Drosophila melanogaster: one gene and its partner. The gene in region 2 interacts genetically with the main gene of each other region. Each region holds a gene or a part of one and is shown on either strand. Other genes may lie near its edges.

Evidence for each region.
Region 1: of Ero1L (region 2) and cnc, changing one suppresses a phenotype caused by changing the other (phenotypic suppression), as found in Drosophila melanogaster (one study listed by BioGRID).

Annotation. Positions count from the first base shown.
Region 1 is NT_033777.3:23,218,927-23,223,743, forward strand, and holds the start of cnc (cap-n-collar), read right to left. Parts: upstream 3,036-4,817; 5' UTR 2,920-3,035; exon of another isoform or gene 2,836-2,919; intron 1,971-2,835; exon of another isoform or gene 1,718-1,970; 5' UTR 1,491-1,717; intron 324-1,490; 5' UTR 1-323. UniProt on the Drosophila melanogaster protein: Plays a role in posterior cephalic patterning. Probable subunit of a heterodimeric regulatory protein involved in the control of head morphogenesis.
Region 2 is NT_037436.4:4,168,507-4,174,328, reverse strand, and holds Ero1L (endoplasmic reticulum oxidoreductin-1-like), read right to left. Parts: upstream 3,926-5,822; 5' UTR 3,678-3,925; coding exon 3,537-3,677; intron 3,116-3,536; coding exon 2,852-3,115; intron 2,105-2,851; coding exon 1,419-2,104; intron 1,362-1,418; coding exon 1,053-1,361; intron 992-1,052; coding exon 940-991; 3' UTR 540-939; downstream 1-539. Other genes in the region: CG18675 (uncharacterized protein), read right to left, coding at 2-376. UniProt on the Drosophila melanogaster protein: Oxidoreductase involved in disulfide bond formation in the endoplasmic reticulum. Efficiently reoxidizes pdi-1, the enzyme catalyzing protein disulfide formation, in order to allow pdi-1 to sustain additional rounds of disulfide formation.

The sequences.
Region 1 (4,817 bases), on a different chromosome or scaffold from region 2:
TCGATACGTGAGCGAATGGGTGCGTGGGTGACTCTTGTAGTCCGTAGTCCACCTCCGCCCGCCGCCTCCTCCTCCTCCTCCTCCTCCTCCGCTGCTGTTGTTCTTGTTGTTCTCCGTCCCGGACAACAGCTCTACGGCTGCGTCGTCCGGGATCTATGCGTTCAATGACGTCGCCTTGCCCCGCCTTCCGGCCTCCTCCTCCTCCTCCTCCTTCGGCGTTCCGAAATCTGCGCAAAAAGCTGAAAATTCGCAGTTTCCACGGCCTATCTCCCCGATTTTCCAATGCTCTTTGCTTTTAATTGATGGCTGTCCTCGGTTTTGTTCTGTAAGCAAATCAAGATGTGACAACAAATAGAATGGAATTAGTAAGCATAACGATTTGCTAACTATATGTACATATGCAAGTATGTAGATATGTAGTGTAATATTCATACATTGCCGCATGGCCATATATGCAGTTTGAATGTTAAATGAAAATGCTTTTGTTTCGAGTGGTGCAGCCTTTGTTTTGTTTGCCAGTCGATTTTATAAATTGCTAAGCACGAGGAAGTGCACCAAAGAAAGTTCAACTTCCGGGTCGGTAACGTCTTTTATTAAAAACACATCTAATTTCCACATCGCGATTATATTAGGATTCATATTTATTTAGCAAAAACGAACACAATTATGTTTTTCTGTTCGCAATTATGTAGTTAAGGTACATAAGTAATACTTTCGAGAGATATTAAAATAAATGAAAGATTGTCGTAAGGAAACATCCCTTATCTCTATTATTTAAACTTGAAATTATAAATGTGCAGAAACACTAACAAGGTTTTGCTACAGAAACACAACACATAGTTTGTTTTCATACCAAACCAAAGTGGATAGCCTAGAAAGGCTGTTATGATGATGACCTAGCGCATTTCAGCATAGTTAATTTCATATTCAGAGACAATTAAGCAGGTCAAGAATCGAATTTTCCGAAATATGTGTGTATAATACATAAATACATATATGCATGTATCCTTCTTTGGTTGTTGTTTTGTCCGAATTCTGTTTGATATCCACAACGCATTTAATATGCCCATCCTGTCCAGCCACACACACACCCCCCCCCCCCTTAAACAAGGTTAACAGACAACCGCCCACCCGAAAAAGGGGGGCGTGAGGCGGAAGGAATGACCCAGACCCAGACGAAATGGCTTTGAACTTGAACTTGTTCAAGGTCTCTCGCGAGCATTTGAAATGTGCGCAATGCGAAGTGAAGCACCCGATTCAAGGACGGACGAAAAAATTGTGTGCAAAATTCTTTCAAGGTTCGATATAAACTTTCTTTGTTTAAAGCCATTTTAACAAAAATCCAAACTTTATTTGGCTCAATTCTCAATGAAAAGATGTGCGCGAGAGAGAGAAAGAGAGGGGTAGGGAAATGACGTGTGCATGTGCGTGCAAGAGAGGGTTCTTGTGTGGGTGTGCGTGTGATTGTGGCTGTATTGCAGTGCACTCACCTCAAATTTTTTTTGGATGATGAGACCCGACTACAACGGTAAAAAAGCTGCGGCGCAGTAAATGTTCTCCTTGTTGTTGTTGCCGTTGCTTGATCTTCTTTTCCTCTTCGCTGCTTCTTCTTCCCTGCAGCACACACAATGGTTTATTGTTTACCGTTCACTTTTCTTTTGCTCTGCAAGACCTTATTTGTTTATGTTTCACTTTCTACGATTTTTACTTTTAATTGCTGGAAAACACGCGTTTTATTTATTTAACAACTTTAAATATATATTTCGCTTGTCTGCGTCCTTGAACTTTCTCTTCTGCAGACAATTTGCATTCAAGTGCCATTAAATATTAATAACAATTGATATTTGATTATGTGCCACCTGGTGCTTCTTTCTCGCCGTCTGGTACGCACTTTTGTGTGAGAGTGTGTGTGGTGGTGGTGCCGTTTTACGTGGTGAAATCGTCACTTATTTGTTAACCCTATATTGGACCTACGTCAAATTAGAATTTGAAGTCATTTGTATGTTAAGATTTTCAAGACAGCTGTAAAATTATTTAACTACGTTAAGGTACAAAAAATTGTCAAGTCCATCAAGGGTTAAAACAATAATATTTTCGCTTCGTTTGTTGTTTTTACACTGCCTAATATTTGCATGTGTTTTGCCTCCACATTGCTTTGTATTTCTTTGTTTTCTTTTATCGCCCGATTCTCGTCTCTCTCTGACTCACACACCAAAAAAAAAGACACGCACACGTTGAAGCATACAACTGCTGTTTTTTCTTGCCAATTCCAATTCGGTCTGTGCCCACAATTAATGCAATTAATTAAATGCAAAACGATTTAATTTTTTGCTGAGAATCGCGGAGAGCAAAACAAATAGGAAAAATGAAATATGGAAGCTTCGAGAATGAGCAGAGAATAACCGGCAACGGCAGCATTTCAACATTCACTCTGCACTTTGCATCAACAAATTATTTATCAAATTGCTAGTTCCTTTTCGTTCCCTATTCTTTCTAACTCGATGTTTTTCTCGATTGCATTCTGTCAGCTGAGCGGTGGAGAGGGAGCGAGAGAGGGAGACTGAGCGCGAGAGCGAGAGGGGGCGATTGCTGAATAACTGTTGTTGCTAGCCTGTTGGTCGTTGTTGTTTTGATTGCCTTTAACCCACCACCCCCACCGACAGTACCACCACCACACAATGAGTTGCACTTATTTAGTGGGGCATGCAACATTTCGCAACTGTAGTTCTTAAACGCACAACCGAAACTTTTTCATTTGTTGTTCCGGCACACAAGCACACGCAGCCAGACACGCACACACACACACACACAATTTAAGCGGCGTGTACTTCGCACCTTTACGCGTCTTCTTTCACTGTTATTTGGCAAATTATTGTCGCGTCCGCTTTGCTACTCTCTTTCGCCAACCGCCGTACCTACGTGGTGAGCTTGAAAACGTGTTTTGTTTGTTACGCCGCGTTTGGCAATTTCTCCGCCGTCGAAATCAGTCGCGATTTTCGATTGCGGCCTCAAAACATTTGAGGCAAAAAACGTCTGTCCAGCGCGGTGCTTTTATCAAGTGTGCCCAGTTGAGGCTCTTTGCAGACGATTTTGTTGAGTTTTGTGCTTTTGCGGTTTTTTTCGGGGCCGCCAAGTGCGGTCTCACCATAATACATTGTGCTTTTAACAGAAATGTTAAATGTAGCTTAAACTAACAGTGACAGAAAGAGCTTTTTAAAGGAGAGCTAGAAATGTAGATTTCGGTTACAAATGTATCTTTATTACCTACCTTTTATTTCTAGATTTAGTTTTTAGAAAGAATATCTTAAGAATATAAAGAACATATTTATATTTTCCCTAAGAGTAACTTATGTAGACATGGTGGCTATTGCAATTTTATGTAGATATGGTGTAAGCTTATAAGCTTTTGACACGTGTCCATGCAAATTTTTCAGTTAATTTGCATTAGTCATTTTTTTAACTAGTTCTACATAACAAAGTTGAAATTTGTATTAAAATTAAAAATAAAGGGATATATATAGTTTTATATTTCCTTAATATTAATTTAAAATAATTTTTTTTCATGATATTGATATTGATATTCTACATGCATGCAAAAATACAAATATCTTAACAATAACTTCCGTTAGCTATTGATATCACAAATGGATACATTTGTATTAGACTTGCTCAATAAAACAGATAGCCACACTATTCAGAACGTGTAATTCAAAATATAGCTAGAAGACTATCAATCTATCTAAAAGACCTGCTCATAAAAATTAATTTAGATTGATGGGGGTAATTTATAGATATATTGCGTTCTGAACTGGGAACATTTGTGCTGGCATTTGGATAAAGTAATTAACACCGAAGCCTTTCAATACTTACCAGATTGGTAAAATGGAAGCCACCTTTCCAAATGTTGGTCTTGGCGTTACCTGGCGTCGTCGATTGGGTGATGGATGGCGTTGGCTTGGCCAGTACAGCGGGCGTGGAAGCCACCGTGGGCTTAATCAGCTTACTCAACTTCGAGGGTGGTCCAATGGGCACCCGGACGGTGACCTTCTTCTTCGGATTCAGCTGCAATTGGGTCTGGTGGTAGGTATATTCGATGTCCTTCGCCGGGGACAAGGATTGCAGCCGAGGCAGATCCTCTAAGTCGATCATTATTGCTTATCAGCTGGCACAAATGGTGATGAGTCAATATGTCAACTGGAATGAAAGCGAACACACAGATAAGGATGGGTCACTAGGTTGACTAGGCTTTTTTTTAGGATGGTGGTTTTGAACTTAATAATTCTGTTCCGACATTAAATATAAACAGTTTGTTTTCGGCGTATAAGAAAATGTGTTTTTACTCATTTTGATCAATGTGACAGATCAAAGATATAATAAATTCATATATATTTTAGTAGCCATACTCGTGTGATTTTATTTTTAATTTCTTCGAATTCCCTGCTAGTAACTTTATCGAACTTTCACTGTAAATGAGCTATAAAAACTGATAAGCGAACTTCGACGGGTGGAATTCAAAAATGAGATATAGCCAACCTAATGGTTTGTTTTATTTGCCATTTATTGAGAAAATTACACACATTCACACAAATTCAAATGTAGATAAGTACAGTGGATGCCCAACAACAATATCAACTCCCACGAGAATCCAGAAAGATAACCGCGTGGAAACGGCATTCATTATCTATCAATTGATTTGGGAACAAAGTATTAGGTATCAGTAACCATAGAGGGATTTCTCCATTGTACACAATACAGTGGGCCCTGCCTTGGAAGAATGCAAATTACATCAGCCAATGTTCCACAGGGGGAATTTTTCG
Region 2 (5,822 bases):
CCCGATCCACCATAGCCTTGGCGTCGTTCATGGCACCTGCCAGGACCTTTTGCATCGCCTCAGTTGGCTGCTGTCCGTTACGGCGAAGGAGCGGATCCTTGTTGATAGTGAAACCACCAGACGGGATGCACTTATCCGCCCAGACATCCTTAAGCTTGAGCTCTTCCCTCTGTTCCTCGTTGAGGCCAATCATTTCAGGCGGCACCATGGTGCCATGTTCGGCCAGCTCCTCAATCTCCATGCAGACACGCTGAATCTTCAGTTGACCATTGTGCAGAGCCACAAGCTCGCGAAGCACAGTATCAGTCTTCTCCTTAACGCTTGTCTCATAGAGGAAGATAAGCTCGTCTCCGCGTTTCACCTGAAGAAGCACCATTTCGCACAGAAAATATAGTCACAAGAGCAATCAAGTGTCGATCGACTGGATAGCAATTTGCTAATGTCACAAAAGCCGACAGCTGGAATGGCAAACAACTCGGTTGCTAGGACCCGTATCGATGGAGACGTTAGAGAGGGTGTTTCAAAACAGACAGAAGTTTATTTTAGCGCCTTGTGTCGTAAGGTCTTGGTATTGCACAATGCGTTTACTTGCTCATTAAGTTCCGCTCACAAACTCCTCCAGATACAATAAATACTATGCTAACTTACAATAAACACCTGCATCCTGCATGGGTTATTTTTTTGTCATTTGGTTTTTTTTAGGGTGATACGGTGCGCTAAAGTACAAGTAGCCTAGGGTAATAGTTTGTATGTACAGGGAAGCAGCTATCCTGGGGTTACTAGCCTCTGGCCTCAAAAATGTTACGAACTATGGGAGGGAAACCGCATTCAGTAGGAAGTCCAAGACGCAGCCCCAGCGATGTGCGTATGAATTAACTAGCTGCTCATGTGAGGCGAATGAGATCCGGCTCGTCGCTCGGTTAGTCCAGTCTGGATGGGTTACCTCAGCACGCACCGGAAATTCTCCATCTCGTATATACTGTTGGATAGTCTGCAAGCAAGTGTATAGATGTAAGTATTTTAGAAATGCCATTTTATCATTTAAAACGCACCTGCCAAACGCATTAAATAGAGCTACAATCTCTGTTCGCGACAGCCTGAAGATGGGATCCGCTTCGATGTGCGGCTTGTCCCACAACCCGCTTTCCGTGGCCAGATTGAGCTTCTCTGAGTAGAGAATCTTTAAAGCAGTACCCAATCCCTGCGTCTGCAGCTTCCCCCACAGTTTGCACTTGTCGCAGCCTACGCAGCTCATGATGCGGGATATGTTTCGGAACTTTTCCTTATAGTCGTGCTTGAACTTAATAGAAGCGATTCCATTACTGAAGAGGGCGTTCTCGTCGAAGTGGGATTGAAAATTTCTACAAAAAGAAGCTAAATTGAAACATTGTAAGAAAAAAGAATATTCCTATACTCACTCTATGACACTCAACATATCATTGATGGCTAGTTTAACCTCATCATCCTCCTCTGCGATGCCCGTGTAGTAATCTTCTCGCCGCAGATAAGGAGCAGCCTTAGCCAAGGCGCGCAGTTCTATCAGATAGATGAAGTAGAGGTTTCGCAGCCAGTGCGGACCTTCACCGCTTGTGGTTTCTGGACTAAAGCGTCGTTTAAACTCCTTTACGTTGGGACCCCAGATGCCCTGCGGATCTAAGAAGTCCTTTGACTCTGACAGCAGGTATTTGGAGCACAGATGAATGTTGATACTAGAGTGCAGGCCAGAAATAATGCGATAAAAGGCACGCTGCTCCAAGCACACATTTCGCAAATCCAAATGAGGCACGTAGTTAGAGAACTTGTTAGCCGTCTCGTTGTTGCCACCGAAGCAGTTCTCCAGATAGATGCTCTTCCAGATGCGATGTGCCGATTCGCCCTTATAGCCGGTGTACCGCTCAGGATTTAGGAGCAGATCCACATACTGGGATCCCTCCTCATGATCGTCCACGATGCAAAAGTCCTCTTCCGCCTCATCATGCTTCGCCCACAGTTCGAATTCCCGATGCGCCTGATCACTTATGCTCGTGTCCAGGAAACCCAGAGAGCTGTCGAAATCCTCTCCATCCGAGCACGCTGAGCCCCCAACTTGCGCCTCGCGCGTGTACTGTAAATACAAGATGCAGATGAGGAAGTCAGTAAGGTGAAGTGAGCCAGTTGTGCAAACAAATAAGCTTAAGTTTTAAGTCAGTCATTATTTCATTGATGGTTAAGTAATCTTTGAAGAAACAGATAAAGCTTTTCACAAATATATCAATACATTCTTGAACGGCATTATCGGTATAAATAATTATCTATACGTTAATAAAGTATCTGGTAGATAATATGGTTTTGTTTTTTTTTTGCTATGTACGAGTATCAATTGTTTTTTGTTTGTGAAGATAAGAACCTCTGCTGTTAAATACATACGTATATTGAACTGCATTGTTTCTTTTTTTTTTTTTTTTTTTGAGTTATCTTTAAAAACAATAATTGATTTTCATTCTCATTTTGGGGTATAGAATTTTTGTTTATAATATTTTACTGTATGGTATAGTCTGCTAAGGAGTGATCAATATTTTAGATAAGTTAATAAGTTAATCGACAATTAAAAAGGGGCGGGCAAACGCTTGATGAGATGTGAAGACCACGTCAGCATTGCAAAACAAAATCAAAGGCCACATCATTAACAGTGTAGGCTCAGTTGAAGATTATCGATGCGGTTCATTCTTGTGGAGCCGCAGACATTCGAATAAAAATAAATCACCTGCAAGCCCATTGAGTGATTGGGTAGATAGTGGTGATTTTGGCAAAAGATTGAATAAGATAAGAGGCGTAGTGTAGACGATAGCGATGGAAATACCCGGAATCTTACTTTAAACGCGGCCTTCTCCTTGTGCTCTCCCTTGTCCTTGATGCCCTGGGGAATCGCTTGCTCCTCGCAGTTCTCCACCTGGCAGAAGCGCATCGCACAGCGACTGTCATCCGGCCAGAAGGGGCACTCCTGCCGCAGGTTCACCTTGTAGAAGCGGAAGAAGTTCTTCACCAGCAGACTCTGCAATCGCGGATAGATTTTCATGTTGTTAAAGTGATCCACCGTGTCCACATCGCAGCTGCAGTCGTTTATAGATCCCTCCAACTGCGAAGAATATAAATATCATACAGTCGAGGTGGCAATAGTAGGTATACAAAAATTTGATCTCAAGTTAGCTGAGTACTATACATATACTAGGTCAAATATTATTAGTGAAGCAAGTGTAATTAATTAATTATCACAAATAAATAATTGAGTATTCTGTACGTTCTGCACTGCAATTAAAGCAAAACTAATATAAGCACGAATTCTTTTTTACTAATCTCCAGTATTTCAACTACATACTTTTCAGTTTAAAATACAATTTTAAAAGCCTTTTTTTAAGATCTAAGTAGAGATCGTTAAAGGATAAGCAAATGATGATGAAATCAACTTCTTAATATTTTTGAAAAACATATTTTTAAATGGCTTAAATCATCAATTAATTTTACCGTTACTGTGTACAATAATCCGAATATTAACCCACCTCGCAGAAGCAGTTTTTGCTAGTCTCCGTCTCATCGATGGCTGCAAAATAGCCTCCAGTGGTGTCCGTCCAGAGCAGGAGCAGAACTAGGACCACCGCAGCGGAGGCCCACAGATTTCTCTGCACCGTGCGTGTTGTCATTGTGTTTTGATGTGAGTGTTGCTATTGTTATGACTGTTGCTGTCACTGTTTTTGTTGTTGCGTGCTCAGTTGTTTTGCGCTTCGCCGACGGAGTGCATCTGAATCCGATTTCCCCACCCGTGTGATTTCGCACCTGCGATTCCGAATCCCAATTTCACGAGTTTAGCGAGCATTTGCGTTTCGAAGCAGCAACATTGTTCATTTACTTTCGATTCATGATTTTGGACACGTACCTGGCGTTTGTGTGACCGCACGCGCTAAGCGCCGAAACGTACTAAAAAATACCACACTTGACGAGCGAAGTGCGGTCACTCAGCACAGCAGGTGCTTTTCAAATGGCCAATATTTCCCATTAATATAAATAATTTTATTTCAGTAATTTTTTTCGATTCGCAAATGAAGTATTCGAATATTTCTAAAAATTTTATATTTCTTTTCTAAAAGTTTTGGTTAAATGTTAAATAAGTAATCAAAATGTAATTGACCGTAAATATATAAAAAAAAGATTTTAAAAATAATCTGTTAAAAATTTGCCCATCAGATATTTGTTATATTGAATTTACGATATGTTGAAATTTCGCGCCATTTTTTTGAAGCAGAGGCAACCCTCTTCCCAGGGATGAAACATTTTAAGGGAAGAGGTTGCCAGATCGCGTTATGGAGAACAGAAATAAAACCGCTCGATTTGAATTAGCAGAATGAGAATATTTAATAACAAAAAATTGAGAGTGAGCTTGATTTAAAATTAAATAATGTAAAATTTTTCAAGATCAGATATAAAAATGATGAAATCGAGGTAAACCACTTTATTCAACAATTTATTTAACAAAGTATAAAAAAATAACTTTTTGATGAAAACCAGTTCATTTCTGATAGTTAAAAAATTCGGTTAACGATATTTAATTAAAATATGAAATATGAGCGTAATAACTTTCCAAATGACTTCTAGCGATAAAATTCAAGATAACATTCAATCGTCAATCAATTGATTGGTAAATGTGAATATCGTTATGGATTTCCTCGTCTCCAATATTGATGCAGTTAATTAATTACCTCAAATATTGATTTCGGCTATTCTTCGGCAATGAATGCGTCTTTTGTTCCCATGACAAACCCTTGCCCCGACGATAGCACCCCTCAAAGGAGCTCGCGACCCTCGATATGCAAATTGAGAAAACTCGGTCAGATCTTGGATCGAATCCTTTCGAGCCCAAGACCATCATCGTTCATCACGCCGGGGGGTGAATTGCTTAGGATGCTGGGCACGACGATGCAGGCACCTCGATTATTCGAACATAAATCGCCTTAGGTCGTTTGGAAAGTAGATACCAACCGCAACAGGATGGGGTCTATCATTTTAATTTAGTTACATCTTAGAATGTAACAAAGAAGCTACTTAATTTTAAAAAAAAATCAAATTAGTTACAATACCTAACTAACTTAACTAATTTATCAATTTTAAGCATGTAGATTATTTAAAACATTACATTAAAATTATTATACGTTAATGTGAACACCAAAACTCTCACGTTTCTTTTTCTTTATTCCGGTTTTATTCGAAATAAAACTATTTTTTTGCTCCCAAAAAAAAAAACTTCTTTTGTGTCCCACCTGAGCATCCTATTTCCATCAGAACCCATCAAAAGTTCTCACGGAAAAGTGAAATTACAACAACGGGATGACTTAAGCAAAAAAAAAAAAAAGATGAACCTCGAAAAAAACGGGGAAAAATCTTCGAAAAAAATGTACCGAACGAAAGGGTTTAATCATTTTTTTTTCCAAATAGGACGATTAATGCAGAAAAAACGCAGACGCAAACATGTGTGGCCAAAGGACAGGGCGGCGACCCTCGGCATTGTTCGAATTGAAAAGGAATCATCGCGGACTCGGGCGAGCGATTTGCATACGCAGGACGAAGGACGCAGGACGAAGACCAAACCACCACCACCAACTCCTTATCTATTTGCCTGAGGTCCTCGGGACCAGGTATAAAACTCGCACAGAATGATAAATCCTTTTTTTTCTCGTTTTTTTTTTTTGATGAACTTTTTTCACTTTTTTTTACCACTTTCGGTTTTTTTTATGCAGCACTTTATTCAAATTTCTAGCCGATCTGGTCGTGTGAAGTTTCGTCTTGAGAAGATT